Linked DNA regions of Danio rerio. The protein of the gene in region 1 binds, or shares a complex with, the protein of each later gene. Links are inferred from orthologs where the notes say so. Each region holds a gene or a part of one and is shown in the gene's direction. Other genes may lie near its edges.

Region 1 (16,738 bases):
TCAGCTAGTTTTTAAACAACAGATGGCACTCTAGCTTAGTTTTAACACCAGATGGTGCCCCACTCTGTTGTATCTAGGTGGTAAACTAGCCTCGATTGTCATCTGGTGTTTAAAAATTAGCCTAAAGCACTATCTGCTGTTTAAAACTAGCCTAGAGCCCCATCTGCTGTTTTAAAACTAGCCTAGAGTGCCATTTGGTTTTTAAAAACTAGCCTAGAGCGCCATCTGCTGTTTGAAAAATAATCTAGAGCGCCGTCTGCTGTGTGAAAACTAGCCTAGAGCACCATCTGTTGTCTAAAAACTAGCCTAGAGCACCATCTCCTGTTTAAAAACTAGCCTAGAGCGCCATCTGCTGTTTAAAACTAGCCTAGAGCACCACCTGCTGTTTAAAACTAGCCTAGAGCACCATCTGCTGTTTAAAACTAGCCTAGAGCACCACCTGCTGTATAAAACTAGCCTAGAGCGCCATCTGCTGTTTTACAAAATATCCTAGAGCGCCATCTGCTGTCTAAAAACTAGCCAAAAGCGCTATCTGCTTTCTAAAAACTAGCCTAGAGCGTCGTCTGCTGTTTAAAAAATATCCTAAAGCGCCATCTGCTAGTTTTTTGAAAGCAGCTAGTTTTAACAATGGATGGTGCTCCACTTCATCGTAGCCAGCCTAGCACACTATCACACTGTCTGCTGTTAAAAACTAGCCTACAATGTTGTTGGCTGTTTAAAAATTAGCGTACAGTGCCGTCTGCTGTTAAAAACTAGCCTAGAGCGCCGTCTGCTGTTAAAAACAAGCCTAGAGCATCATCTGCTGTTATAAACTAAGCTCAGAACTGATTCAACAGAGAATGGCAATGCAGTCCAAAAATCGACCCACGTATCATAATACATTGATTTATCATCCCAGCCCTACTTCTATAGTTTCTTTAATATTTTTCTATCTTTTATTGATATTGAAATTCTATCCACTGCATTTAAAAAAAAAAAACATTCGCAACATTGTACCGATGCTGGTAGATGTTTGTTTCATCAGAGATCAATGATTAAACAGACATGTATATGCACTCTGTCATCCTTCAGTCTGTAAATAAATGATTTTTATAAAGGTGGATAATATGATAATATGATTCTTGTGTATCATCACACATGAACTTGAGAGCATAACGTTTTTTTAAATCTGCATGAAATCTGAACTTCCAGTATTAATTTTACTAGCGCACATTGTTAGCCTAAATGTCAGCTATTAATCTGTGCAAGATAAAGGTGCAGTTGGTAAGTTTGACACTCAGTGGTTGAAGTAGGTATTGCTGTTAGGGATGGGCAGATCGATCCTGAAGTATCGATATTTTCGATACTGGGAATGTATCAAAAAGATCGATCCTTAAGTTAAAGTATCGATCTTTTCTGAGGGGGGGGCAATAATATAATTATTGTCTCAATTATAGCGTCGTGTAATATATAAATATTTATTTAAATATGAACACGAATGGGAACTATAATATTCCTCCTCTGTATCTCTGCTAATAGGTCAGTGTTAGCTCACAGTACAGTAGTACAGACACCACACACCCAGCGCAGGTTGTAAAACTAGAGCACCATGCAACGATTGGCTTATGGCACAGTAGCATAATGACATCATCTGATTAATATTCAATTATCCATGTGAGCAAAATTACGTCAAATTAGCAGTAAACAGTTTGTTAAATATGATACGCAATAACTTTACACCTTGTTGTGGGCTGCATGCTTCGCCCTGTCATGTGTCAAGAGCAGTTTATTTAGTTTTACAGTTAGAGCGGATTTTTACTTATTATAGTAGTATTATAGTTGCCGGTTTTTTAATCGGTGTAAAGAATAACTGGATGTTTACAAAAGCATTTTGATAAAGATGTCTGCAACTTTTGTAAAGCATCAAATCAGCGTCATATTAACTGTCAAAACATGTTTATGACTGCATAAATGTATTATTGCTTTTAAAAAGTTACGTATTGTGCATGTCTATTATCATACACAAATTGTACTAAAGCGATCTAAAAAGTTCATATCAATAAGTTTTCTCTTTGCACCAGCAGGTGGCAGTCTTTGTATTTTCATTTGGGGGGTGCAAATTGCAAGTTTTATTAATATATATATATATATATATATATATATATATATATATATATATATTTTATTTTTTTTTTTTCTTTGATTGAACTGATCCAATCTAATCCTGTTTATATGAATTGAACCTGCTCCCGACCAAGTTTGATTTACCAGAATTGTTGCTACGACAACAATTCTCAGATCAGTTTTGAAGAACGAAACGATCCTGGATTGTGTCAAATCGTCAATAACCAAATCCAGCTAAGTAATCCACGTACGAAGAACAGGGGTCTGTTCTTCGTACGTGGATAACTCAGTTAGCTGGATTTGGATATTGACGATTTGACATGATACAGGATCGTTTCGTTCTTCAAAGCTGATCTGAGAGTTGTTGTCATAGCAACAGTTCTGCTAGCTCAAACCTGATCGGAAGCAGGTTCAATTCATATAAACAGGATTAGATCGGCTCAGTTCAAGCAAAGATAATACAGAAAGTACCGAATTATGATATTTTCTTACAGTAGTAGTTATATACACTTGGGAAAATAGTTAAAAAAAAATTAACTATATATATATAAAGTTATTATTAATAAAATAAATAAAGTTATATTAACAAAACTTATGCAATCTGCACCCTCGAATTGAAAGTACAAAGAGAAAATTTATTGATATTAACTTTTTAGATCGCTTTAGTACAATTTGTGTATGATAATAGAAATGCAGAATATGCGACTTTTTAAAAAAAAGCAATAATACATTTATGCAGTCATAAACATGTTTTGACAGTAAATATGCTGGTGATTTGATGCTTCACAAAAGCTGCAGACGCCTTTACCAATATCAAAATGCTTTTGTAAACATCCAGTTATTCCATACAGCGATTAAAAAACGGCTACTGTAATAAAGAAAATCTTCTTTAAATGTAGAACTAAATACATTGATATGCATTGAAATACATGATAAATACTCTTGACACATGAAAGTGTAAAGCCTGCAGTTCACAACATATGTGTAAAGTTATTGCGTATCATATTTAACAAACCGTCGACTGCTAATTTGATGTAATTTAGCTCACATGGATAATTGAATATTAATCAGATGATGTCATTACGCTACTGTGCTGTCAGCCAATCGCTGCATTGCTGATCATGATTTCGAGGATCGATAGATCTGTCCTTCACAACACACGCAGCGATCTCAGATCAGTTTATCCAGACATTCTAATCTGATTCGCGAACTTGTTTGAAGAACCAAATTAGCGAGAGATCAGTTATCAAGATTAAAAGATCCGGGATCTGCCAAATCATCTTAGATCATTTAAGCGAGGTAGGAAGAACGGACCCCAGACCCCTGGATCAAAACAAACGCAAGCGCAGGTTGTTAGATTGACGACATCAACAGCAGTGTGCCTGACTGTCAAGCCTAAAGGCTGTCCTAACCAACACCTGAAGTTTATATTTTAGAAACTTTTATTTGTCACATCTGAACAACAGAAAACTGACAACGATCAGCTCAGGTACACCTCATGTGCTTTATTCTGTGTTAAATGCTAATCGGCTTGTTAATTGGTGACGTGTTGGCAGTGGTGTAAAGTAACTAATTACAAATACTCAAATTACTGTAATTGAGTAGTTTTTCTCAGAAATTGTAATTTACCAAGTAGTTTTAAGAATGTGTGCTTTTACTTTGCCTTGAGTTCATTTCTAGTGCAGTATCGGCACTTTTACTCCATTACTGTCCTTCAACCTGCAGTCACTACTTTATTTTCTCTTGTCTATGTGGATTAGAAAAATCAGTCCTGTGATTCCCGTCCAATCAAATCACACATAGAAGGTAAATCACATCATAGTAAACTACTTCAAGACATGAGCGCTCTATAATTGCAGCAAACTGTTTGGAAGCATTTAAAGTGTCCAAGATGTTCAAAATCTTTACACTCATTGACCCAGAGACTGTTTAGATCAGGGAGGCCCAAACACAGTCCTGCGTCCGACACTAACATGTCATTTTCACGGACACAGCTGCTTTAGAACTTCAAATGTTTTTCAAAAATATGAGAACATTAATTCATTATAGATTTCCAGTCCTTTGTAATGGTCGTCACACACACACACACAAATGTACCCCTACATAAGGAACCCAAACAGTATATTATGTCTTAACTCTAAAAATGAAAAAAAAAAGATATTACACTCTTGTGAGGTTCGAACTCGTGTCGGTGGCTTCAAAACATAATGTGCTAATCGCTAGACTACGATGACGCTGTTAAGCTGCACACTGTTATCTGCTGCTATTGATGTCTACCCTTTTTGTACCCTACTCTTTTTTTTTCTCCCCTTTTTAGATTTCTGATCAAGTTATGTCCGATTTATTAATGTAGTGAATCCTCTAATTTTCACTGAGCAGGTGTAATATTCATTAATATTAATAAATATTCACTACGGTGCCGCTGTTTGGGGTGGAATGTGGTGCAGCCCGCAGGTTAATAATGCTGCATTTTGATCACGGGGCTGCGAGAAAATAAATAAAAAGAGCGGAGCTGCGGCAAAATAATGAATAAAAAGAGTCAGGCTATGGTCAAATAAACAAATACATGAAAAAACTGCTGAGAGTGCAAGCAGCGGACCGGAGTGCAAAAAAACGGACCGGCCAACCGGGAATTCTCCCGGTTTTCCCTATTAGCCTATCCGGGCCTATTCAGCATCTACATTTGATCATGTTAAAGAGGTTTAATATGTGTTCATTAGATTATAAACTTTACCATTTGGCTGGGGTGCAGTGAGTGCACTATTCTGTGCTTCTGAATGGCTGTATTTACATTTCTGTCATGTTTCGTCCGGTGCAAACAGCCCAATTGCTCATCACTGCATCATGTAGGGTGTTGTCAGGATACGGGGTTACAATGTAACCTGCTCACCTAATGTTTACATTCGTAGTATTTATATTACTTGCTAATTAATAATGTGGAATCAGGTGGAACTCTGAATCTGCGTCTCATTTCAGAGGCCCCGTTTACACTAATGCGTTTTAGTTTGAAAACGCATAAGTCTTGCTACGGTTACGCCATCCGTTCACACTACGCTGGAGTTTTCGAGCATCAAAAACAGAGTGTTTTGGAAACGCTGAAGAGGCTGTTTTCATTCTGAAACGCTGCTGCTCCGTCTCAGTGTGGATGGGGAAAACAGACATCTGAAAACGGCTGCCGACATTCGCTACCTGATTGGTGCTTTTGTGTCATTGCGTATCCTTCCCTTATTCGTCAAGCCCCTATCACATGACTATAACACATGGCTTTAACGCTACCAGAAGACAGCAGACCAGCCTTCACTGTAAACAACAACACGGACACAGATGGGAGCGTTGTTTGCACTATTGTCTGTTTTAGGCGCCATTGTGCAGTTATTCATTTGTTATGTTTAGTATCAACTCGACCTCGTCGTCTGTCCACAAAAATACCTCTCTTGCTTTCTTTGCCATCGCGTTCATTGTTCATTGCGCATGCCCAGAGTGCGCGAATGGTCACGTGATATACGTTTTTGGTGGCGCAGTGTGGACGGAGATATGTTCAGAAACGCTTGTGTGGACGTGGATCGTTTTTGATCTAAAACGCCGTTTTTAAACTAAAACGCACTAGTGTAAACGGGACCAGAGTCTGCTGCTGTCCACCGGAGGTCTCATTTTCAGTCACAGACGCTTTGTAATCCTTCCAGACTGAATGAAGGAAATACGCTGTTTTCCACCAAGGTAACCTGAGATGCTGAAATATTAATGGCTAAACTGAAAATGGGTGGGTTAAATGACCAAAACAAAGACAGATGTTGTCACACGTAACGCACATGTTCAAAGCAGAATATCTGACTTCAGCATTGTTTCTCAGATAAACAAGAATGTTCACTGAGCATGTTTCTGAAATATCTGCAAACATATGATGCTGCTTTTATGCTTTGCTTCTCTCTCAAGGCTGTTTATGCTAATGTGGGACAGATCGTCACTAATGAGCGGGCCTTTCCACCTCTGATGACACCTACAAAGGGAGAATGTCAATCAAAGTGTTTCTGCAGACAATCAAGTGTGATCATAACACATATATTCTAAGAATACATTTTTACTATTAGAGGCTGGTTATATTCACACACTGCTGACACACAACCTCATATAAAACTTCATTTTACATAATAGTTCCCCTTTAAAAAAAAAAAGTACGCATGTCATACTTCTAGGGTGTAGTGTGCAGTACGGTGGACTGTGATTTGGAACGCTTGTCCGGCTGATCTGCGCAGGTCCAGCGTGTATGTTGTCGGGAATAGGGATCTGCCCCTCACTTCCTGTAGTTCCTTCCCACCTTCCCGACCAAACAACCGGTCCCGTACTGCGTATTATCAGCGATCACGGACACGCTCGTGCTGGTTCTCCGGTAAGACGCACTCATGTTTGTTTGTGTGTTTGTCCGTTATGTCGCGCGTTTGTCCGTTATGACGTGTGTAACGTAAATCAGTGCTGCTCCGCCGCGCTTCTTCTCTCTGTCTCTCACTGTGTGTGTCTTCAGATTTAAGTAAGTGGAAAAATCTCCTGTTTTAAAGTGTTCAGAGCTCAACTTTGCGGGTTTTTGGTGTGGGTTTGTGAGGTTGTGTGTTGTCGGGATAAAGCTGGATGTGTATTGGTGTTGTGTGTGTGTTTCAGATGCTTGTATTGTTGAGTAACGTTAGAGATGCAGTCAGTATTGTTATGCAGGACTATCTCTGTCTCTCTATGTGTGTGTGTGTGTGTGTGTGTGTGTGTGTGTGTGTGTGTGTGTGTGTGTGTGTTTACTTTTCCCATGAAACTGTTGCGGTCCACAAACACCCCTCATGTTATAGTATAGCTATGTGTTTCAACTTATGGTCTCAACATTCAGCTTCATTATTAATATTGGCGTAATGCAGGGCTCAACGATAAGGATGGCCCGGGGCCAGTATGTGAGACGCTCGGGACAGTAGACAGGGTCATTACTGGCCCGATTGGGGCTGCCTTGTCACTAAAGTTTAATTTGCCTGTGACTATTTGTCAATTGCGTGTAAATACAGTCTTAGAATCGAGAAACAGTTTGGATTTTTAAGCCTTCGAATGCTACCTTCTCTGTGATGTGGTTAGCACTATCCGCTTGTTAAGTGGTGACGTGTTTGTGACGTATGTAATACTGTTTCCGAGCCGCCATTCATTTGAGTGGAGAAATCATTCGTTTATAATCACGTTTTATTCCTATCGCACATTAAAGTTAATTTTATATAAAGTCATAGTGTAAACAACAATCTCTGGGCTTGCTGCATCACAAATACCAAAAATTTAACAATTTATAAAAAAATGAATCACTTTCTGGCCATCGGATATTAGGCATGGACATATACTGCGATCGTGATTTTCGAAACCATTAAATCACTTTGTAAACGTTTATTATTACCATTTCATGAGTCTCCCCATTCAGTTGAATAGAGCGCTTGGACCCGGAAGCCGCTTCGCGTGACGTCACACTTAACAAGCGGATATTGGGTTTTGGTTCCTCTTATCTGATTGGACGTTTTGAGCATGTTATTTTTTTTTTACATAACAACCAGTACAGTGAGGAGACGGCAACATCAAATGATGAAGCTAAAAGAAAACACTTGTTTTGAACTTCTTGGAAGTAGACATTGCGAGGGTACACCGCGACCAAATTGCTTAGAATGACCAAGAGGCGACACTCAATAGAACGTTCCATTGCAACAGCAGCGCCCAGCAACAGCCTCGGATTCCACCATTTTGGAGTGAAAGCAATCGGCCGTCCATTGGATCGTATTGCTGTCGCGATGGCAAGCAGCTGCTTTGTTTTTTATTTTGTTATTTGACAAGTGCATTAAAGCTGAGACACAACCTGAAAGATAATACAACATTTACCATCACAATCATCAGCACTTTTAATAGTTTATTTTACAGACTTGTAATATGCTGTTGTTCTATTGGAGTTTTCATTCCAAAATGGCCACAGCACCATCTATTGGCTGTTTCCCAAATTGCATTAGAGTGTTGCCTCTTGGTGATTCTATCATACCTGTCAACATTGGGATGTGAAAATAAGGGATATGCCCACCATAATAAGGGATTCCCCCAACACCCCCCCCTCCCCCTTAAAAAAATCCCCAAATTACTAAATTTGTTCCTTTGGAGCTGTTTCGTTGTTAATAAACAGTTAAATGGTCAGTTATGTGTTTTAAATTATTATTAAAAACATAAAAATAAATATATACATTAGCAGCAAATACATTAACAGTTCAGCTTATTAAAATTAATAGCTATTATAATGAAACAGAATCAAGCTATCAATCTCATTAGCCGTTTCTCCACTTTATAACTTAAACATTCTGATTAAAGAGCAACGAATGAATCTGGCATTTAATAAGATTTTTTATTACATTAAATAAGAAAGCAAGCAATAAAGCGAAAGCACAGAAGACTCTAGTTTTAGAGCAAGGGGCGACCCCTGGTGGTTCGGCGGTATGGGTTGTGTATAGGGAAGCTTGACTGTTCAGAGAAAGTCTGAAAATACGGGAGAAATACGGGAAAATACCTTTAAGGGATGATAACGGGATAGAACGGTAAAATACAGGAGAATCCCGGGAAAAACGGGAGGGTTGACAGGTATGGATTATATGCCAGTGGTGGGCAAACTTTTTAGACCCGAGGGCCACATCAAGTTTTGCGAACCAAGTGAAGGGCCACATGTCAAATTCTTAAAAAATAACTTATTTATAGTGGCAGTATGCATAAAAATGTAATATCGGACAGAAACACGTCACATTAACACAAAACAGGTTTTTTAAATATTATTAAGTCAAATTAATTTGCACTGCTATTTATATTTACTTATCAATCTTCATAAAACAATAAAATAATCCCTTATGAAATATAATAATAATAATAATAATAATAATGTAATAATATGTACAGTGGAGACTAGCAAATATTGTCTAATAGAAAAAATATCATATTAACACGTTAAAAATAATTCTTCAAGTTTACTATTCAGTCAAATTTACAATAATCTATTTTACACTGCTTTTAGAATATACAGATCAATCATCATACAACTTGATAAAACCACAAATCTTTGATAAAAGGACTTTTTTAAGTGTATATATTTGCATGGAAAAAATATATTCTATGACTAAAATTAACACATTTAACCAGCAATAATTATATAATTTGATTGAGTCAAATTCACATTAATCTCATTTGAGCTTGTATTAATGTGCTCATATCAATCATTATAAAACTATGAAATAAAACGGAAGAAGAATCTTAGTCTTTGTTATACCAAGTCATGTTATTATGAGTGTTAATGTGAACAACGAGCCTGGTCCCCTCTCTTCGCAAGGGTGTCAGTCTAAAGTCTGTTACGGCAAAAACGCGAGATGCTGCAGGCAGTTAAAACCATAGACTGGTTAAAACACGAGGCGTGCAGGACGCATAAGCAGCGCGCAAAACATAACCCCCGCGGCCGTTAGTAAACCACTCAAAAGAGGCGCCTCTTAACGCATAAAGCGTGTTCGGTCATTAACTGTCGAGTGCATTTTAATATCCGAGAGTGTGTTGTAATTCTACTGGTTGCACTTACTGTACCGCATGCAATACTGCCATCACATGGCGTTCACTTGTAATTGCATCATTAATTTACTTATTCTAAACCAAACCTTCTCAGAAGCAGCATTTTAAAAACTCCCTCGCGGGCCCGATGAAAGTGTTCAGCGGGCCGCAGTTTGCCCACCTCTGTTCTATGCTCTTTGCCACGACTAAAAAACAAGAAGTGATGTTTTGTACAGTTTGCCATCAGTTTGGCAGGTCAGCCACTTCTGTTTTGCAATAAAATTTCAATTTCCAAACACATTTTCCACACTGCTACTTTTGTTTGCATAACACTTTGAATTTTGCTCATTATACATTAATTAACATTTTTGTAATATTTAAATTCTAGATTCACAAACATTTTTCACAAATTTGTGGCTGAGAAATAGCTATTAACTTTTTTTTTGGTTAGGCCAAAGAAAATATTGGCAGGGCAAGTAAAAATCTGAACCACTGTCCCGATTGGGCCAGTATAAAAAATCCTTAGCGTTGAACCCTGTAACGTTTATATTGACAGAGAGCATCAGGAAACATCTCAAAGACATGTGCAGGTCAGATTTCACCCCAAATGAAAAGTAGGAGACATACAGTGAGGTATAAAAACTGTATTCAGGACATTCTGCCAGAAACCTACATTATCTGTACCTGAAATAAACACAAATACAGTGAATTTCATCCCCAACAATAACTAATGCCTGGTTCAGACTGTGTGATTTTAGCCCCGATTTTGTCTCGCCGACAGGTTTTGACAAATCGCAGACAAATGCCTGAAATCACAGGCAAATCTCTGCTCGTGCACGTGAGTGACAATCACACAGTATGAACGATCAAAGACGCGATCTGAGAGAATCGCCGATGAGTCGCCGATGCCTGCCAGATATTTGCCGTGCTGAATATCTGGAGCTGTCGGCGATTCAAATCATGCCGTGTGAATTGAGTTTTGACTGAAAATAACATCAGCGATCGCCTACAGCCAATGAGAGAGCGGCATTCACTTGTGTGTGTGTGTGTGTATACCTGCTGCAGGTCAGCGGGAGGCTGGGGGAGAAGTTAAAAGCGCTCATTTTCGGTTTATTTGGACCCACGAAATGGAGGAAAAACTAGTGGAGGTTTGACAGGACACAGGAGCAACTGTGTCTGTTTGACGTTTCATACAGAAAGAAATTAGTGTATTATCAACGTTGAGGAGAAATGGCTCATTCCCTTTAAACACAGGTGAGCAAACATGTACATGTTCTACCCCATTAAAGGATTCTTTCTCATTATGTAGTTAATAACAAAAGATATACGATGTGTTTTTGGCTGTGAGATGTAGTTTGGACGAAGTTGTCGGTGATTCTTCCTATAGTAAAGTCATGCAATGTGAAAGTCCCTGTCGCCGATCGTCTTGCAGTGTAAACAAAGCAGCGACGAAACGCTAGCCCAGATAGTCAAGCAGTGTGAAAACATCTCTGACACGACTACTCTGAAAATCATGCAGTCTGAACTCTGCATAAAATGGACTGATGGTTGATTTCTGTGAGTTGTTCCGTAAAGGGATATGTCATTCATTTGGTTCTCAGATTTTTGTTCTTTATTTAAAACACTTTAAATGTACAAACCCTGTCATTGTCCTCAGCCCAATTTAACTTTTAGTGAACCGTAGTTTTGTTGTGCTAAAACTGTTATTTAGAAGAAAAATACTTCAGAAATAGAATTTTAAGTTGTTATCATTCACATAAAGTAATTAAAAACATGACATTTTGAATAAATTCTACAAATAAATACTATTTTGTCCCCTTGTTTTGGTCAGTCCTGTCACATTTGTGTTAAATTTAACATAAAATGCATACAATACATTCAGGCTATGAAGTGACATCATTTGATGGAGAAGATGGACAGTGAGGTTAAAGGTTAGGCCTGTCACATTTTTATAAGGGAAATTGTACCTTTCTGGTAGAATGTCCTATAAGCGATTGCATTTTAATGACATAACCTTTGACAATTGAAGAAAAAAAGATATGTATTATGTCTATCTGTCTATCTGTCTGTCTGTCTGTCCGTCTGTCCGTCTATCTTGTAAATATTTAATTTCATTGTAATTTATTTTTAGACATATTATATTTATTGCAAAGTGTTTGTTTTTTATTTTGTTTTGTAATTTTAGGTATATGAATTCAAAAGTTTTATACATGAAATTATATGAAGCAGTTTATCAAATAATTAAATAAAATCCAATTAATAAATACTTTATTTATTGTACTTCATTTAATTTTTCACAAAAACGCTTCATAAACAAATGAAGTAGGTAGGTGGATGGATAGAATGATAGATGGATAGACAGACAGACAGACTGTCAGGACGACAGACGGACATATCAAATTAAAATGGTTTAAAAATAAAGAAAATTCTTACGATATTTTTGCCTTTTTAGCAAATATTTCATTTATTGTATTTACTAAAAAATTAAAATAAGGTCAGAAACATTTCCTTGTCATCTAGCTGAAATAAAATATATTTTAAAAAATATAAAAAAAAGTTTTATATTTTTAAAACATTTTATATTGACATATGTCTGTATGTCTGTCAGTCTGTCTATCTATCTAGTAAATATTTCTTTCCTTGTATTAAGTTTTTGTACATTATAATTTGTTTCAGTGTTTTTTTATTTTGATTTGTAATTTTAGTTATTTTTAGTTGCATTAAGTACATTTACAGTATGCACAATTTTTACGTGTGTGTATAGTTGTGTTTTGATATGAATAAAAAGTTTAATATATCAAATTTTTTAAAGCATTTTTTAAAAATAATTAAATAAAATACAATCAAATATTTAATAAAAAAAAATCTAAAATGTAAGAAATATTTCCTCGTCAACTAGCTGAAATAAAATATATTTTAAAATTAAAACAAATGTTTTTTTTATTTTTAAACCATTGGACATGTCTATCTGTCTGTCTGTCCGTCCGTCCGTCTATCTATCCATCTATCTATCCGTCCATTCATTTATCCATCCATCCATCCATCAATCCATCCATCCATTGTCCATCCATACATCCGTCCGTCCGTCTATCCCTCCGTCCATCTATCCATCTACATATCCATCCATCCATCCATTTATCCATCAATCTATCCATCTACATATCCATCCATCCATTTGTCTATTCGTCTATCTGATCTGTCCATCCATTCTTCCGTCCTTTCATCCCTCTATCCATTTGTCAGTTCATCCGTCAGTTTATCCATCCATCCATCCATCCATTTGTCTATCTATATATCTTGTTTGTCTGTCTGTCTGTCCATCAGTCCATCCATCCATCCGCCTATGTGTCCATCTGTCCATTGTCTATCCATCATCTATCTATCCCTCCGTCCATCGTCTATCCGTCTGCCTATATATATATATATATATATATATATATATATATATTTATATCCATCTATCTATCCGTCTATATATTTGTCTATCCATCCGACTATCTATCCATCTATCTATCCGTCCATTCATTTATCCATCCATCCATCCATCCATCCATCAATCCATCCATCCATTGTCCATCCATACATCCGTCCGTCCGTCTATCCCTCCGTCCATCTATCCATCTACATATCCATCCATCCATCCATCCATCCATCCATTTATCCATCAATCTATCCATCTACATATCCATCCATCCATTTGTCTATTCGTCTATCTGATCTGTCCATCCATTCTTCCGTCCTTTCATCCCTCTATCCATTTGTCAGTTCATCCGTCAGTTTATCCATCCATCCATCCATCCATCCATTTGTCTATCTATATATCTTGTTTGTCTGTCTGTCTGTCCATCAGTCCATCCATCCATCCGCAGGGGTGATAGCGTTCCGGCACCACGCCGGATTTCCGGCGTACTGTGGCTGCGGGGGAAAAAAAATCAGGTTGACGGATATTGATCTGTCATTTCTCTAGATTCACAGAATTCACTCACTGCTGAAAGCGCCGGATTGGTTTTTATTAAGTGCCATTTTGTGTGCTCGTGAATCATCTTTTGAGTGTAGACGCCATGTAAATAAAAGATTAATTGTGTAATTTAGAGAGCTTTATAAATTATAACGGATCTTTGTGAGATCTCTATGAACTAAGTGACGCTTTTTAGTGATAATAAGAGGAGCGTGCTTTGCACTTTCCAGGCTATAATCCATTCAGAATTTGTATGAAACTTTCGTTTTCGGCACATATACGCTGATATGTTTTGGGAATGGCATCTGCATATTTACGCTGGGTTTATTCTCGAAATAACGGTGAAGCAATAGACGGGACAAAAATATATTTCCCCCTTCTCCTTAAACAACTTGTTTCAGCTATGAAATAGTTCAGTTTTGTATGTAGCCTAATGGCAAAGTGTTTATATTTAGTTTCGTTTTTTATTCAGCTTATTTAGAAAAACGTTTGGAGCATTTTTTATTCGTTAAAAATAAGTTTTTTTTTAACGAACAGCGCCCAGCGGAAGACCATCATTGTCTGTTTGATCAGTTTGCCTTCTCAGATCATCACGACTTGCCTAAAATAAAAGATATAAAACAGTTCAAGTATAAAACAATGGTAGCTTAAACGTTAAAGAATGTGTGCTATTAGGCGCATAGTTTGCTTATAAAAAGCTTGCAGGACATCGAGGCGCCAGAGCAATCACTTGCATTTTTTCAGTGGGAGCAATTTAAAGTTATCCGTCATTTTTGCTCACAAAGTACGAGTAATACATCAAAAAACGTTACAGCGTTTTTATAAAATAAAGAAAACCAAAATTATGCGCTTTCTGTCGTCAGGTTTTTGAACAGGAGCGCTTAACAAAATGAAGCAAAATGTATATGCCTCACAGACATAATAAATATATTTATAGAAAGCTTTAAATTATTACTTAACGAAATAAAACAAATCGAAAACAAAAAAACTCCTTCATGTAATCCGTAAAGATGAACTTCTCTCTAAAGGCGAGTCCAAGAGGAGATTGCCAGTCAGGATCTTTGCGACTCAGAATAAGTTTATTAATAAATAATTATGATATGATCCTTACTCTTTCCTCGACACATTCATGGTTATTTGTTTTTGCCGGTGCTTGGGGCGAGTTTTAGCTTATTGTGTGCGCTTGAACGCGGTTTCACAGTAGCAGTTTTAACATGGAGTGACACGACATCTGACGTACAGATGACACTGGCACATGCCACTGAGTGTAGTGACACTTCCGGTGGCAAAACCATATTTAATCATTACGCGACTTTTAACCTAATTTATCGCGTCGCAAGTTAGTTTATTTGCTGAGCTACTCTTTTAATTTAAACGCATTTATTTTATGTATTCGTAGTCATACTTCCGTACGTAATATAGTCATTTGACAGTACATGTCAGTCAAATTTATTGTGGCATGCTTATGTACGGGAGGGGTTACACTTATCTGTTGTACTGTATATTATTGCATCCTGGCAGTTCCTTTGTTCCCTACAATATGGACTTCTCTATGTTTTTAATTCATTCATTTATTTTATTATTTAACTTATTTTCATTTTAAGGTATTTTAAATAATATCCTTTAAAAAGTTATAATAAAATGCATGTTGAAAACTCATAACATATATGCATGTAAGATAACAGGTGTCATTTGTCTAATGATTTTTAAATATTAAAGCAAAGAGACTTATAAGATTAATGTGCTTATAACGTGCTTATACTGACACCTACTGGCACATGTCACAAGATCACTGACACTGGCATGTGTCACTGACATTACTGGCATGTGTCTAAAAAGAGCCGCTTGACAATAATGATGATCAGGGTTACACATAGGCTGTTAATATATTTGGGCCCAGGGGCCCACAAGTTATGTGTTAAAAGTGCGTTGCATACATAGTACCCCCACCCCTACTCACCTCAGGGGCAAGGAAAAAAAGTTCAGGCTCAGGAATTTTTTCCACTATCAGCCCTGCATCCGCCTATGTGTCCATCTGTCCATTGTCTATCCATCATCTATCTATCCCTCCGTCCATCGTCTATCCGTCTGCCTATATATATATATATATATATATATATATATATATATATATATATATATATATATATATATATATATATATATATATATATATATATATATATCCATCTATCTATCCGTCTATATATTTGTCTATCCATCCGACTATCTATCCATCTATCTCTTTGTTTATCTATCCGTCTATCCATCTATGATCTAAGATCTAAACATATTTTCAACACCTCCTATACAAAATGACTCCCCAATATGAGTCCGAAATCTAGACAAAAAACTTGATGACTAATTAGAAAAGTATTTAAACATGTTGGTCATTTGTGTAAACCCTGTTTGTTTCCATCCAGTAAATGTGAAACCCTGAGCATGTATTGGGTGTGTGTAGCGTCTCTTTTTCCTCATCTGTCCTCTGATATGTTGCTGTTTGACTTGTTTGTGACTCGGATTGTAAATGCTCCACTGAAGTGTCCTTGTCTTGGCCTTGATGTTGAAGCGTCCGCTCGGCCTGATATATGGAGTCTGGGAATGACTTCAGGATTTCTTCAGCGCATCTGGATCTGTGCACCTGGATTACTGATTAATTTCCCCCCATTGTTTGCTGTAATACTTCATCTGTAATTCAGGACATGAGAAATGAGCTCGATCGGCCGAGACGCTCAGAGTTCAGCCATGTTTCTCAGGGCCTTTCCTCTCAAAACATGGAAATGTTTATGCCGTTATATAGTCTCGGCCATACGCTGCCAGGCCACTCGCTATGAAAAATGCAGCCAAATGGGAATTTAATTGAAGTTGACAAAAAGATTTTTTCCCTCAAGCCAAGATTTCGCAAGTGCAGCCAAAACAAAGTAAGAGTGACAGAAGGAGAGAGAAAAAACTGATGTTCAGCTTCTCCTTATGTAAACTATTATATAGAATTCACTTTACGTGCACAGGAGAAGACAGCATGGTGGACTGCACAGAAGAAAATGGCCAGATCTTATTCTTTGTTGTTTGATCTTTCTTTAAGCTTATGTAAGTGAAACCATATTCAGG
Region 2 (16,830 bases), on another chromosome or scaffold:
GATGTCCCATGACAAACTAGTGATGTACTATGAGAGACCAATGATGTCCTGTGAGAGACTAGTGAAAGCCTTTGAGAGACTAGTGATGTCCTGTGAGAAATTAGTAGTGATGTACCGTGACAAACTAGTGATGTCCTATGAGAGACCAATGATGTCCTGTAATGGACTAGTGAAATCCTACTAGAGACTAGTGATGTCCAGTGAGAGACTAGTGATGTCCTGTTGGTGATGTCCTGTAAGAAACTAGTAAAATCCTATGAGAGACTAGTGATGTCCCGTGAGAGACTAGTGAGGTATTGAGAAAAACTAGTAATGTATTGTGAGATTCTAGTGATGTCCTGTGTGAGACTAGTGTTGTTTGTGAGAAACTAGGGATGTGAGACTAGTGTTGTCTTTGAGACACTAGTGATGTCCTGTTAGTGTTGTACCGTGAGAGACTAGTGATGTCCTGTTAGTGTTGTACCGTGAGAGACTAGTGATGTCCTGTTAGTGATGTCCTGTGAGAGACTAGTGTTGTACCATGAAATACTAGTGATGTCCCGTGAGAGACTATAGTTATTTCCAGTGAGAGAATAGTGATGTTCTGTGAGAGACTAAAAGTGATGTCCCATGAGAGACTAGTGATGTATTGTGAGATACTAGTGATGACCTGTGTGAGACTAGTGTTGCCTGTGAGAGACTAGTGAGGTCCTGTGGGAGTCTAGTGATGTCCTGTTAGTGTTATCTGTGAGAGACTAGTGATGTCCTGTGAGAGACTAGCGTTGTACCGTGAGAGACTAGTGATGTCCTGTTAGTGATGTCCCGTGAGAGACTAGTAATGTCCTGTCAGTGTTGTCTGTGAGACATTAGTGATGTCCTGTGAGAGACTAGTGATGTCCTGTGAGAGACTAGCGTTGTACCGTGAGAGACTAGTGATGTCCTGTTAGTGATGTCCCGTGAGAGACTAGTAATGTCCTGTCAGTGTTGTCTGTGAGACATTAGTTATGTCCCATGAGAGACTAGTGGTGTTCTGTTAGTGTTGTCTGTGAGAGACTAGTGATGTCATGTGAGAGATTAGTTATGTCTAGTGAGAGACTAGTGACGTCCTGTTAGTGATGTCCCATGAGAGACTAGTGATGTCCTGTTAGTGATGTCCCGTGAGAGACTAGTGGTTCCCTTTTAGTCTTGTCTATGGGAAACTAGTGATGTCCTATAAGAGACTAGTAAAATCCTATGAGAGAATACTGATATCCTACGAAAGACTAGTGATATCCCGTGAGAGACTAGTGATGTTTTTGAGACACTAGTGATGTCCCATGAGAGACTAGTGGTGTCCTGTTAGTGATGTCCCGTGAGAGACTAGTAATGTCCTGTCAGTGTTGTCTGTGAGACATTAGTTATGTCCCATGAGAGACTAGTGGTGTTCTGTTAGTGTTGTCTGTGAGAGACTAGTGATGTCATGTGAGAGATTAGTTATGTCTAGTGAGAGACTAGTGACGTCCTGTTAGTGATGTCCCATGAGAGACTAGTGATGTCCTGTTAGTGATGTCCCGTGAGAGACTAGTGGTTCCCTTTTAGTCTTGTCTATGGGAAACTAGTGATGTCCTATAAGAGACTAGTAAAATCCTATGAGAGAATACTGATATCCTACGAAAGACTAGTGATATCCCGTGAGAGACTAGTGATGTTTTTGAGACACTAGTGATGTCCCATGAGAGACTAGTGGTGTCCTGTTAGTGATGTCTGTGAGTGACTAGTGATGTCCTGTGTAAGACTAGTGGTGTCTTGTGAGAGACTAGTGATGTCCCATGGAAGAGATTAGTACTGATGTCCTATTGGTGATGTACCGTCAGAAATTAGTGATGTCCGGTGACAGACTAGTGAGGTCCCATAAGAGACTAGTGATGTCCCTTGAGAGACTAGTGATGTCCTGTGAGAGATGAGTGATGTCTGTGAGAGATTAGTGATGTCCTGTGAGGGACTAGTGATGTTTTTGAAAGACTAGTTATGTGTCGTGAGAGACTAGTGATATCCTATGAGAAACCAGTAATGTCCTGTAAGAGACTGGTGATGTCCTGTTAGTAATGTCTGTGAGAGAATAGTGATGTTTTTGAGAGACTAGTTATGGCCTGTGAGAGACTGGTGATGTCTGGGTAGTGATGTCCTGTGAGAGAATAGTGATTTCGGGTTAGTGATGCCTTTGAGTGACTAGTAGTTTTGTCCTGTGTAAGACTAGTGATGTCTTGTGTGAGACTAGTGATGTCCTGTGAGAAACTAGTGAAATCCTGTGAGAGACTAGTGATGTCTGTGAGAGACTAATGATGTCATGTAAGAGACTAGTGATGTCCCATGAAAGACTAGTGTTATCCTGTTAGTGATGTCTATCAGAGATGAGTGATGTCCCATGAGAGACTATTGATGTTTTTTTAGAGACTAGTGATGTCCTGTGAGAGACCAGGGATGTTTTTGAGAGACTAGGGATTTCCTATGAGAGACTAGTAGTGATGTCCAGTAAGAGACTAGTGATGTCCTGTGCGAGATTAGAAGCAATGTCCCGTAAAAGACTAGTAGTGATTTCCTGTGAGAGACTAATGATGTACTGTGAAAGACCAATAAAGTCCTGTGAGAGACTAGTGAAGTGATGTAGAAATAGAAGTGATGTCCTGTGAGAGAGTAGTAAAATTTTGTGGCAAACTAGTGATGTCTTGTGAGAAAATGATGTCTCATGAGAGACTAGTGATGTTTGCAAGAGACTAGTGATGTACTGTGTGAAACCAGTAATGTCCTAGGAGAGACCAGCGTTGTCCTGTGAGAGACTAAAGTGACTAGTTCCGCAGGTGTACTGAAGTTATTCAGCTCACTTCCTTATTTACTTCCTACATTTTTTTCACTGCGGTAAACTAGAAATTTTCCTTGCAATAGTTTTGCGCTGCAATCATTACTGTTGTCAAATTATTTCAACTGTTTTAAACAAATAGTATTTTAAGTGCCTTGATTATTGTTATTAAGTGCCTTCTTTTTTATTCATTTATTTTCCTTCGGTTTAGTCACTTTATTAATAAGGGATCGCCACAGCAGAAAGAACTGCTAACTTATCCAGCATATGTCTTACACAACAGATGCCCTTCCACCTTCCAACCCAGTACTGGAAAACACCCAAACACTCTCATGACACACATACATTACTACCAATTTAGTTAATTCAATTCACATATACCTCATGTTTTTGGACTGTGGGAAAACAAAGCACCAGGAATATACCCACACAAAAACATGAGGAGAACATGCAAACTCTACACAGAAATGCCAACTGGTCCAACTGGGACTCAAACCAGCGACCTTATTGCTGTGAGATGACAGTGCTAACCACTGAGCCACCACAGAACATTATCCTGCTTATTATATAAACATATGTATATTTTTAAAAATAAACACATCTGTAAATTATATTTAGGTGGTTGAAAAAATTGCAGTATATAGTACTATAATGCAATACAGTATGTAATGTAATTCAGGAGGTCAAATGAACTTATTGTTATTCTGATCAAAAGTGATGCTGATAAATTGCTAGATAAAACTCCAGATTCAAACCCCTAAAGATGTGTGCTGAGACATTTGCATCTTTCCACAGTCCACACCTTTTGCCCACTAAACAAACCTATGCTTTATTTTCACATCTTTTCCTCCTCTCTTCATTTCAGGTTTGCTTCCTTCCCGTACAGTTGTGCTGCCCTCGATCACAAAACTCTGGCGACCGGAATGAGGTCATTATCCAAAGCTGTGATGAGGAACTGCTGCATTCTCTCTCCCTCGTCCTCAACTGCAGTCTTTTGGATCATTTTGCTCTTCGGTGACGTTACAACACTTATTTCAACACTAATTCCTATCTATCACCTCAGAAGCTGAAGCGTGCAGACACATGTAGTTAACAATTAATTTTACAATCAATATGAAAAATATTGGCTGTAATGTTGTTCAGTGAGCAACGTCCTGGAAGCTGTCCAGTAGACTACTGAGTGTGGGAATGTTTTGAAATCACATCGCACTGTTCTTGTGGAATGTTTCTGAACACTCAGGTAGGAGGCAACACTTCCAATGGAGGGATGGTGCTTGTGTTTATGGCAGCATGTGATTGGGTGTTTAATGACGCTTTCGCTTTTCGGTGGTTACTGTGGTCAGCTGTGTAGAACGTTGACTAAATTTCCAGAGGAATTACTGTTGCTCTAGGTAATATGGCACAGGCCACAAGCACCCTAAGTTCATTAAAAAGATACTATCTGTGTCCTCAGGTCAAATGGCAATCGAACAAAGCATGCTGAAGCAGATGGTTTACTCTCATGTGCTCGCTTATTTGCATCCTCAACTTTCACATATGCCTGCAATTATATTTTCCTCTGCTGTCCATCACCATTTTACAGGGCCTTTGACATCCCCCTTTTCAGGAGTTACTACAATCAATTAAATGCAAAACCATCCTATAATATCCATTATATTATTATAAAGGGCTGTTAAATTCTGATTGGCTAATTTTTAAGGTGTGCGTTTATTTTCACACTGTTTAATTTGTTCAAGGCAGGTCTTGACTCCATTACAGTTCCACTTAATTTTAATAATTCAAATCAAAACCAAAAATCAAAACAAAAGGATTTGGATGATATGCGTAAGAAAATATTCTTACACATACTGTAGCAGTGGTTTTTTGGACCAAAAAACTGACAAATGACTTGGCATACTACATTTGTAGATTGTCTATAGGTGTGGTAACCATAGTATAAGTTGAACAATTGGAAAATAAAACACACTGACATGTCTCATCAGCACAGGTGTGCATTATTTTTGAATAATTCAATTGCCCATTATGTATTAATCGTTAATAATTAAAGGGAACCTATGATGAAAATCATCTTTTGTAAGTTGTTTGGACAGAACTGTGTGTACACTGTAAAAAAATCCGTAATTTTACGGTTTATTTCCAGAAGCTGGGGTGCCAGAAATAAAACGTAAAATAATGGACGTTAAATTACAGTAATTTACCATAAAATAACGGATTTTGAATGACAGAAATTTACATTTAAGGACATTTCTGTAATTTAATATCCTTTATTTTACTTTATATTTCTGTAATGTAACAACCGTTAGTTTACAGGGTTTTTTAAAGAAGTTGCCAGAAATAAACCATAAAATTAAGCATTTTTTACAGGTAGGTCTAGTGTGTCCATAGTCATATTGAGATGATATAAACACAATAAGTCTCTTTCTTTAATTTCCTGATGTTAATATAGGATCCAAATCTCTCCTATTTTGAGGCCCACCACAACATGTTGTAGGAGTGAGGCTTCCCCACCCACCAAATTGATTGACAGCCGTGTAATAACATGTCTCCGTAGTAACATATATATATATATATATATATATATATATATATATATATATATATATATATATATATATATATCAAGACAGGACATGCGCAGAACAACCAGGATTAAAAGATCTGTTCAGCTCTCTGTGATCATCAAAAGTGATCAAGAATGAGTTTTACAAGTTTAAAATGTTTTTAAAACAGTGCGTGTTTGTAATGAATTACAGTGATTTTACAGTCTTTATCAGCACAGCCTCATGTCAGTACAATTATAAAAGAAGACACTTCAATCCCGGTTTGTGGACGTTAAATTAGGATTATTTTGTACATCAACATAACGGATATCCACACAGCAGTGAATATTAATGTGCATCCTGTCACATTTGCTTGCAAACACAGTGCAAATTTAAATGTGAATGCAGTGTATATGTGGCTGCTGTGTGTGCGTGAGTGACTGAACTTTGTAACGACATTGTGTGTGACTCATCGCAGCGCCACAACAAATACATCAAATAATCATTGGGATGATTGAATAAATTCTTACTGTAGTAATTCTCACAAACGTTACGTGAGATCTGCTTCCTTCATGTCTGTCACTCTGCTGTTTAACTGACACAGCCGAGGTGGAGATTGAAACATGGGAAAGGTGGGTGGGGAGAACTAGCATTAAAGGCACAGGCAACATAAACAGCTACATGTCTTAAAAAAAGTCTCATCTTAAATCTTAAAAATGTTGTGAAATAGGTGCCCTTTAATACTAATAATATCAGTAAACTGCTTTGTTTGTTTTTTTTTTATCACGGAATGCAGGTAGTCATTATGAAAATGCTTGGTTTATGAATTACCCTTAGTGTTCACTAGCCCCCTTTGCCCCTTAAATCTCAGTTCACATTGAAACAGCACGTATTTGCGCATCTCTAAGACTCTCCTCTCCCTCCCGCTGTGTTGGGTTGACCTGGGGCTTGGCTGTCTTGCCTTGGCCTTGAGAGCACTGAGACTATGTTTAAGTAGAGGGAGCGGCTGAGTGAGGCAAATAAAAAACTCTTTACACACTCCGAGACGGAGCTGAGCTGGAACCTCAGGTACGTGATTGTGAAATTCCCCACGTTCCACTCCCTGCAGTCCACAACAACACAAAGAGCTGCCCGAAATCGAGGCTAAGTGTTCCTCCACAGAATGCTTGTCCTTAAGACCGTTTTGCTGTACACCGACTGCTTAGGGTCATTCTCAAAGGATTAGTCAATTGGGGCGGCACATGATCTTGTATGAGGTCCAGAATTACACCACATTGTGTTTGTTTGTGGGGCTTTTTCATGCTAAACATACAGTTGCGTAATCGAATGACCTGAAAAATGACGTCTACGTAATCGTTATGTCTGCTCCCATAGAATTGTTTTAGCATGATTAGTAATCTCATAACTGCTTATAAATGCAGCTATATGGGAGAAGCAGGAAAATCACACTTCACTACAGCATCTGCGTCTGTGCTGATTTTTTTTTAAGTCAGCCACACTGATTTATTAACTTTCTAATACTCTGAAGGTAAAATAACTGTTGCAGAAATTGATTTAAAAGTAGTATTCTCACTGTACAAAATGTTCATTTGTGTTCATTTGTGATTTATGGGTACATTGTTTCTATTTATATGTGCTTCTGTTTAGTTTTATGTTATCTTAATTAAAAATTGTAAGGCAACTTGCTCCAGAGCTTTTTTGAGTTGCCTCAACTTTCAACCCAAGTACTGCACTTGACTCATTTGAAGTTGAGTCAACTCAAAAATGACCTGAAGGTGGTTGCCTTAAAATTTTAAGTTGTCGACTATTTACTATTTTTTTAGTGTAGCAGAACTACGTCTGTATATATTGCTCATCATACTATATTTGAACATATATTAATATATTAGCATTTCATTATTATATTATTTCAAACTACTAAAAGTCAGTAAAATCACTTAAACTGTCAAGTTAAACCTTCAACAATGAACAGAATAAATTAAGGGGGAGAGGGGTTAATAATGACATATGGGAAGCTAGTTTAAACTAATAAACTAATTAACTAATAAGTTAGTCAGTTCATATAGTGTTTGCCGTACTGTGGAAACCTATGAAAAGCCAGTCGGTGACACTTTAGATTAGGTCCCAATTCATAGTGTTAACAAACCATTAACTATCATTACAAGCTTTATAAACTACAAATTAGCTGTTTATTAATAGCTAGTAAAAGTTGGGTTTAGGGTAGGATAAGTGATGCAGAATAAGATCATTTTTTACAACCACTAATAAGCAGTTAGCATCTTAATAATAGGCAGGTAATCAGTAGAACCAGACAGAACCTGCTGACATTTTTTGCTATTTCTGAGCAGAATTTTATAAAAAGATCTGCAGATTTATGTGAAATGATTTCAGGAGTATGATAGCTAAAACCTGAAAATATATATATAAATATATATATATATATATATATATATATATATATATATATATATATATATATATATATATATATATATATATATATATATATACCTTTTTAACTTTTATTTAATGTTTACAATACAAATCCAATAAGATGCACTTATTTGATAAACAAAGCAAGTCTCTCATATAATATATCTACTAAAATGTTACTTTACAAACTGTATTGTAAATAAATCATATGAACACTTTCATAATATTTAATAATATTAATGAAATTAATTTAAAAACTGAATAAATATAAATTACACACATTTACACAAGTAAATAAATAGACTCGATGATGGGTTAAAAATGTGTGGAAATCTGCAGAAATCTGTGGGCACAGATTCCGTGTGGGCTTAGTAATGAGCCAGTTAATAGCAGAAATTGTGACCTGAACTAAAGTACTAAGCCAGTCTGCACAATTCACTCCTCTTGGACATCAGTGGCCAGGTGGGCATAATATTTGGACACAAAGTAAGATCTGTTTGACCGTTTGCTAGATCTGGAGATATTTTAGAGGAGAGAAACTGCTTGATTTAATGATATCCTGCTGTAATTTTCTTAATTGACTAAGACTCAATTTACAATTAAGCTAAATGGGTCAAAAACAGGTCATCATTTAATGGCATTTATAAAATTTCCGTGGTCCAAAAAAAAATTGGACACCTCAAGACTAGAACAAATAAGACAACAAATCATCTGTCATGCTCAATTGAACAAAACCTTCAGCAGGGGCCCTGATCTTCTTAATGTATTTCACAAGACAAGCAGCCACCATCTTTGATAGAGCAGTCTAGAAAATGTGTGAAAACAAGAGAAAATAAGACAATGAAACACATACCTTACCCGCTGCTATGGGCCAGGGAACACAGTGGTTACCATGGCTTAATCTGTCACTGAAGTGGACTTTAAGGGGTGACAGGGTTTTTGCAGGCTGATCTTTCTCCCAAACAGACAGCTTAGCATTTGTGTGCACAGGAAGAGCCTTTTCCAATATCTCAAATAAGCTGTTGGGCAGAAGAGCCAGCTTAATCTCTGTCTCCTGCTCTCTCGCTCTGGTACACCATGGAAAAGCACCTGATAAAGATAGAGAAATAATCAGTTGTACACCGCACTCTTAATTATAAAGGTCCTCTCAATGGTTCCACGAAGAACCTTCGACATCTACTAAAGCTTTTGATTCTTTAAAGAGGGAAAAACTTTCTTTAGAGTGTGAAAATATTCCTCACACTATGAAAAAATTGTACTTTTAAAAAACTTTTCACTAAAAGATTCTGAAAGGAACCAAAATGGCAAAACCCCTTTTTTGGGACTGGCAGCTTTATAATAAAGAACACCAGATACATCAAAACAATCCTGGTTTTTACGTTTTGAAATCTGTACAACATTTACAAGAAACTAAATCCTGTAAATTGTACCCTTGACTTTAAAATGTCCAAAATGACAACAAAAGTTGGTGCTGATTTACTGCAGAAAGCACAATAAATTTGATGTAAGATCTGAGTGTTTTTAAAACACAAAAAACTAATTCGTCTGGCTTCTGTAACCGAGTTGTTCAGGTTAGAGGCTGATGGGACAACAAGTGATCAATCTGACAGGAATGTGACTGAAGCGATTAAAAAGTTGTCATATTTGGAAACGCTGTTATTCTGTGATTAATTCGGGTGATGGTGAACGCGCACATTCCGCACTTGCTGTGATAAATGAAGTTTCGAAAGTTGTATAATTGATTCAACCTTACGTGCAGCAACGCAAATGACTTGAGAAATAATGGTTCATTAGCGGGTCACACACGGATGTAAGAAAGTGAGCACACATGCACGTCGCAGCCTCACACAGACAGCAGTGGGAGAAACTGATGCGTTCACATCTCACCGCGTCCCTCCCCTGAAACCCACCTTCTTTAAAGGTTTTTTGCGCGTCTGTTTTGTGGGATAACATCAGAAGTGTTCGTCCCGTCGAGCCAATCAGGTCCCTCCCTACCTCAGATCGCAGCTATAATACATAGGAGTAAAGAGGCTTCTCGCATTAAGTGGCTGTGGCTTGAAGTAACGTTGTGATTTCGAGGTCAGTCTTACCTTTCGCATCCCCGCCGCAAACCTCCGATGCGTTATCAGTCGCACGTTTCCGCACCTGTCACGGTCGGGGCTTGGCGCTGCTGAGGGACACGCGTGAACCGAGGAGACGGCAAGGACATCGCCGGAGATCCGCGCCTCGACAACGAGAAACCCTGCTAGACAGACCGCTCGAGAACACCGCAGCGAGATTCAGCGTGCGGCAAAATGCGGCTTTTGACGAGAGTGCTGCTGGTGTCTCTTCTCACTCTGTCCTTGGTGGTGTCCGGACTGGCCTGCGGTCCTGGCAGAGGCTACGGCAGAAGAAGACATCCGAAGAAGCTGACACCTCTCGCCTACAAGCAGTTCATACCTAATGTCGCGGAGAAGACCTTAGGGGCCAGCGGCAGATACGAGGGCAAGATAACGCGCAATTCGGAGAGATTTAAAGAACTTACTCCAAATTATAATCCCGACATTATCTTTAAGGATGAGGAGAACACGGGAGCGGACAGGCTCATGACACAGGTAATTCTTTCGCCTTTCGAAATCTGAAAGTCGGAAAGTACAGTTGAATTCGTGCAAGGATTGTGAATTAGTCCTGTGCCATCAACAGAGGACCGGCTGCTTGCCTCCTTGCTCACCCTCATTGTGGAAGGCAGCGTGAAATATTTATGCGCTTCTTCTGGTCATATGTATGCATTTGTCCGCGCGTTGAGACGCGTCAGGCGCGCGTTATCTGTTTTATAAAACGTGGATGTCCCGACGGATGAGTGCCGCACCTGATCTGAAGGGACTGTGGTGGTCAGAATATTACAGTCTCGTGACAGCTAAATATAGATTGAAATATAACATACATGTTCATATCGCTTAGTCAGACAGACCGCAGCCTACCCGCTCGCTCGCTCGCAGCGGCTGCTTATCAGGGCATGAACATATTGACATTTCTCCAAGGATGCTCTCCGATTTGTTTCTACTTATTAATGGGCTAGGATGGTTACACTTAATGACAGATTAGAATCAGACACAATGGACTATCATCGCCTCTGTTCTTTGGATGTTATGCAGGTGTTTGTTCATCTGCCGACAGTTTTTTTCAGCACATGCGAGGCTGCATTAACTGTATTTAATCTGACTAATATATTTAAGCAACAGCAAGTATAAGTTTGTATACTTCATGAGTAGTCAATGCTAATGCAACATTATTTTAACTGCAAAATGCGCTATTATTTTTGTTACAATGTAAACGCGAATACTTAGCCGCGGTGCGCTGTTTTCTCTGCTCTTAGGTAGCCTGCGTTATATTCACTTTTGGATGTAATGCTAAAGATTTGTGTTGCTTAAATATGGTTTATTGGATTCGTTTATTTTGTTGCTCAGATTTGTATATTAGCATTTACATCCAACTTTTTACATTTATTTATTTTAAAGAAAGCTAGGCCTCTGCTAAAGTCAGACAGCTTCGGGAATAGGCTGTCTGTCCCCAACATGGCTTTCCACTCTCGTTGCATTAGCAGGAATCTTTTGAACTTCTGACCCTTTGCCAATGCTAAGGAAGAATAACATGCAGCTTACTAAGTGCATCGAAAATATGTTTGCAGTGCAAATTAGCCTCTATTGAAGTGTTTCCGTGTAATTTACAAAGTGATTATCCCGAGCATAATTTTTATTAGGCTGTTTTGAACGTGCCTCTGTTAAATAGCTTTTAGGTTCAAAGTCTAAGTCATGACCGGTTATAGCAAGGTTTGCTGAAGCATTGCGAATAATGTCCGCCAAAGTCAATTTACACGCCACGCGCAGGTGCATTATAAAGTTTCCCTTTTACCGGTCCTTAAAAAAGATGAAACCCGTGTCTGGTGTGGTTTTCTCAGATGTATATCAAGCTCTACTTAAGGTGAATGTGATTATAAGTGTGCAGTGACCCGCGGGCACACACGCTGCTATAAGCTACCCTTGCAATCTAGTAACATCAAATGAACGTCTCAGTCTTTCAAAGGGAGTTAACGAGGTGTCCTGTTGACAAATGTTTTGGAGAAGCGCATCCGAGTGTAAGACAGGGTTTGTTGGTTGAACACGCTGTGCGGTGAATTGGACTTAACGGTGAAGCTCGCGAAATTAGGCGCAACTGCGAGGGTATCCAGGAGGCTGTTTGCTCTGACAGGTAGCTGATAAGTGTTTCCTCTAAAACAGTTCATTTTGGGGGGAGATTAGTTGCTGACTGTGACTAGGCGGCTTGTTGAACAAACCTCGTGTGGAGCACAAAGCGGCGGCACAGGGGGTTCCCGCTGCGCTTCATGGTGGCTGAACAGAATTTGGCTTGATTTGCGGCACACGACTCAATGAATTAATAAAGAGTTCAGGCTTCACGGCTCATCAATCCCCGGTAGTTTTGCTTAGGATGTGCTAGGTTGCATCTTTATGTCGCTTGCTTGTGGTTTACTCTATCAATCAACAGCCACAAGTGTTGTAGAGCTAAAAGGCAGCAATTTAAAATATAGTAGTTAGGGGGTCTGTTTTATTTACTTTTGATTAAAGTACCATTTTGCTACATTCCATTCAGTGTACAGATATTCCAAAAAGGCATCATCCAGAGGATGCATCTGTGAAGTTTTTGCAATTTATTTCATTAGACTATATCGTTTGTATAATAGACTCTAGAAACACAATGAAGTGAACTGAACAGTTTCATACATTCAGATATAATTCAGTGTAGTTTATAATTGACTAAACATTATTTTTCTGATATACAATAAAGTGCAATTCAGCTTAGTAAAGTGCATATGGTCTTCACTGCTGACATGAAAATTAGAGGGTCAAGCAGATCAGTAGGAAGTGGGGCGATAGTCTGCTGGAGAAATTTATGTGGATGTTAGAGGCTAAGGATGTGTGTGTGTGTGTGTGTGTATAAGGGGGGAGAGTCAGAGAAAGCGAGCAAGTGAGTCAAAGCTAGGAGGGTATGTGTGTGAATTATTACAGGTATTAATTTGGCTTAGTGTCACAATTTGCCAGCATATTTTGAATAGATTTTATATAACCTCTGAAAGACCGTCAGTTAAGCAATCACATCACGTCCCTTGAGCAAACCTGTGCTGCAAGAATAATGAGTAGTTGCTTCTCCTCTTGGACGCAGTGAAAGAGTCTTTTGTGGTGTTTTATTTGACATATTGGTTAAGTGTTGGGAAGAGTTGTCCTGGTGAAGGCCAAGCATCTCAAAGCAAGGTCCCGGGAAAGGTTAGCACCCAAACATGGCCTGATATTCCACAGTTCATACCTGCACCTCAGTGAGACCTACTGCTCTAAATCTCAAGGTTATAATAATGAACACCACTAACCGAATTACTTTTTTTTTACCCAATTTCATTGTATGCATTCTGGCCTTTTAAAGCAAAGACATGGCCCCTGATTCAGTCACACCTTTCCCTAGTTGGATCTATACGTTTTAGATCAGTGAAGCGAATGCAGTAACTTATAAATTTTTCATTGAGCTCCTTGAGCAGATTATCCTTGCATGCAAGGCTGAATTATTTCAAGTGTAAATATGGGTTTCTCATAGTCACATTTGTCTGGATGTATCTATTAGAAAACATACTGGATTAATGATATCTAAATCTCTGATTCCTGAGATGGTTGCTCAGAACTGACTGACATGGCTGAAAATGATAATAAGATCAGCTAGTTTATGACACCCTTTAAACTAAACTAACTAAACTTGTCTGGATGTAAACAGATAATCAGTAAGCAATATAATTTGGGAATTGTTTGGAGATTTAGGATGAATTAATAGAAACGTTAAACAACGGCTAATTTCCTTTTGCCCCATTCTTTTTGTCTTTCTATTAGAGATGCAAAGACAAGCTGAACTCGCTGGCCATCTCTGTAATGAACCACTGGCCAGGGGTTAAGCTGCGTGTGACAGAGGGCTGGGATGAGGACGGTCACCATTTTGAAGAATCACTCCACTACGAGGGAAGAGCTGTTGATATTACCACCTCTGACCGAGACAAGAGCAAATACGGGACACTGTCTCGCCTAGCTGTGGAGGCTGGATTTGACTGGGTCTATTACGAGTCCAAAGCCCACATTCATTGCTCTGTCAAAGCAGGTAAGACCTCTGGAATGACAAAAAAAAAAAGAAGGCACAATGCTTCACACTCCCTCTCATGTTAAAACAGGAGATTTTAAATTAGAAAATGCTTTTATATATTTGTATTTATTTATTTATTTTTTTTACTGAAGTCTACTAAATCATGAAATATATGTTATTGTAAGAAATCTCTAATGCATATATTTATTATTGTAAATAGGCGATACACAGATCTTACAAAAATATAAAGGTTATATTTCTATCTTAGGACCTGCTTTTAAATTTCTACACCTTAAGAAAGTCTTTTGAAAGATCATTCTGTTAAAACGAGTCACTTAGAAATACTTGCCAGGCCATATAATAACTGATCTTACATCGCCCCTCTCTGTCTCTTTGAAGGAAGCGCTTATCACAAGATCACTCTCTGCTCTGCAGCTCAATGCGCATTGCACAGACACTAGAGATGCGCCAAAATCTAGGGTTTTACACACGAAAATTCGAAAGTAAAACAATTTGTGTTTATTATTATTGGAGCATGTGACATTTAGTGCGCTATTACGGTGTAATTCTCGTCTGGATTTTTTGTCTAATAAACGTATTATTATTGACGGAAGCTAAATTAGCTGGAACGCATTGACAATCCCTCATAAGCTTTCGCCAGATCTTATCATTTAAATTCTAAACACATTTACAAATACATTACCGGCTTCGACGAGAACCAGCTCCAACCCGTTCGCCAAATCTGTTTCTCAATTGTCACCATCTTTATTTCATGCCCTAGAATCTTAAGAGAGGATTAGACGAGAAGTCCATTCTATAGCTCTGTTTACCGACCCAAGAGATCGGAATGTGAAGAGATCCCACAAGGCCCGAATTATTGTCATTAAGCTTGACAACGGAGAGCATGATGGTTTGAGGAAAATGAAAGGAAAGAAGAAGAGGGCATTGATTGACTACCCCTAGCATTTCTAATTTACATTCAAATCTACACCATTAGAGCCTTAGAAAAAAAAAGTGTCTGGGGCTGAGCAAATACTATTTGAGCCTGCTTGGGGTTTTTCTCATTCTATAAGTGTGAATTGTCACATAGAAGTTTCTGCACCTGAGCAAATATGAAAGAGGCGCAAGGGAAAGGCAGAAGTGTCCTTTTCCAAGAGTGCTCTGTACACAAGCTGCATTAGAATGACAATGTCCGGCCTTTATTGGTTTTTAATTAGAGCAGTCCAGGCTCTTTCCTCCTTCATCTCACACAAAGGCATTGAAGTTTTTTAGAGAAGCTTTACAGCCTAATTCCCGTTGCCACGTTTTCTTTAGTTTATTCAGTCTTTAATTCCTTATGTGCGCGTTTCTCTAGTTTAAATTTCGGCTTAAATGATTAATTAATCTAATAAAAAATCCCCCAATTTCAATCACTCATTGCTATTCATTTATGTCTTCAGAAAATTCGGTTGCTGCGAAATCTGGGGGCTGTTTCCCAGGTTCGGCTCTGGTCTCGCTCCAGGACGGAGGACAGAAGGCCGTGAAGGACCTGAACCCCGGAGACAAGGTGCTGGCGGCAGACAGCGCGGGAAACCTGGTGTTCAGCGACTTCATCATGTTCACAGACCGAGACTCCACGACGCGACGTGTGTTTTACGTCATAGAAACGCAAGAACCCGTTGAAAAGATCACCCTCACCGCCGCTCACCTCCTTTTTGTCCTCGACAACTCAACGGAAGATCTCCACACCATGACCGCCGCGTATGCCAGCAGTGTCAGAGCCGGACAAAAGGTGATGGTTGTTGATGATAGCGGCCAGCTTAAATCTGTCATCGTGCAGCGGATATACACGGAGGAGCAGCGGGGCTCGTTCGCACCAGTGACTGCACATGGGACCATTGTGGTCGACAGAATACTGGCGTCCTGTTACGCCGTAATAGAGGACCAGGGGCTTGCGCATTTGGCCTTCGCGCCCGCCAGGCTGTATTATTACGTGTCATCATTCCTGTTCCCCCAAAACTCCAGCAGTCGGTCCAATGCGACTTTACAACAGGAGGGGGTCCACTGGTACTCCAGGCTCCTGTATCAAATGGGAACGTGGCTTTTGGACAGCAACATGCTTCATCCTTTGGGGATGTCAGTAAACTCAAGCTGAAAACCCTCGTGTGGAAATAAAGCAAGAGAAATCACACTAATGTAGGATATAAGACAATATTAGTACAAGAGAGAGAGCGAGAGTGAGAGAGAGACTAAGGCTCCGAGCGGAGTTGGGATATTTATTACAATGACTTTAAAAAAATGTCATTTTCAAAGAATAAATGGAGCCTTAAAAGTTTTCTTTGCATAATTTATTCTCGCGTGAACTCAGGCTGGTGCCACACACACACACGGAGTCGAATGCAGTGTGACCATCCAGCGGTGCAGAATCTATTTTTGTATCTCATGAAAACGGGACAAAGAGAGCGCGAGAGAGAGAGAGAGAAAGAGAGAGAGAGAGAGATAATGTCAGACAGAAACCTTCATGACAGGTTGTGACATTCTGTGCATATGTGCAAATGACTGTTATATTTTAGGGGTAAGCAAACGCCGTGGGGCTCCAGAAATTATATTTTTATACACAGAATTGTACATTAGATTTTGACCGACCGTTACCTAATCACTTTTCGTTTTTTGAAATAGTGTAAGATACGAGAATATATTTTAATTTAAATAGGTGCAGAGTCTTTGCAGTCTTGTGCTGTTTCTCTTTTAGAAATATCTATTATTTTGTTATTGCTTTGGATGTCGGAGTGGGACAGGCACATGCGCCCCCTGCTCACTCTCCTCTGGTTTCATTGTTTCCTTAAGAAAATACGAAATGCACATTCTGGCCATTGAGTACAGATAATAGTCCCACAGTAAAAGAGCAAAGGG

Evidence for each region.
Region 2: the proteins of disp1 (region 1) and shha are in contact, whole or in part, in a cryo-EM structure (PDB 7E2I), measured with the Homo sapiens proteins. The link is inferred for Danio rerio from reciprocal best matches to the Homo sapiens genes DISP1 and SHH. Residues at the interface, in NP_001356523.1 of Homo sapiens: Lys242, Thr244, Gly245, Tyr246, Lys247, Ala248, Glu260, His265, Arg299, Phe336, Gly337, Asp338, Leu339, Cys340, Gln341, Arg342, Thr343, Glu459, Arg899, His904, Asp906; in NP_000184.1 of Homo sapiens: Pro49, Asn50, Val51, Thr55, Leu56, Gly57, Ala58, Arg68, Glu71, Phe73, Lys74, Leu76, Thr77, Pro78, Tyr80, Pro82, Arg96, Leu97, Gln100, Lys186.

The regions. Positions count from the first base shown.
Region 1 is NC_133195.1:54,915,439-54,932,176, reverse strand, and holds the start of disp1 (protein dispatched homolog 1), read left to right. Parts: upstream 1-6,396; 5' UTR 6,397-6,628; intron 6,629-16,738. UniProt on the Homo sapiens protein: Functions in hedgehog (Hh) signaling. Regulates the release and extracellular accumulation of cholesterol-modified hedgehog proteins and is hence required for effective production of the Hh signal. Synergizes with SCUBE2 to cause an increase in SHH secretion.
Region 2 is NC_133182.1:41,222,266-41,239,095, forward strand, and holds the start of shha (sonic hedgehog protein precursor), read left to right. Parts: upstream 1-9,763; 5' UTR 9,764-10,082; coding exon 10,083-10,382; exon of another isoform or gene 10,383-10,643; intron 10,644-13,694; coding exon 13,695-13,956; intron 13,957-15,377; coding exon 15,378-16,072; 3' UTR 16,073-16,830.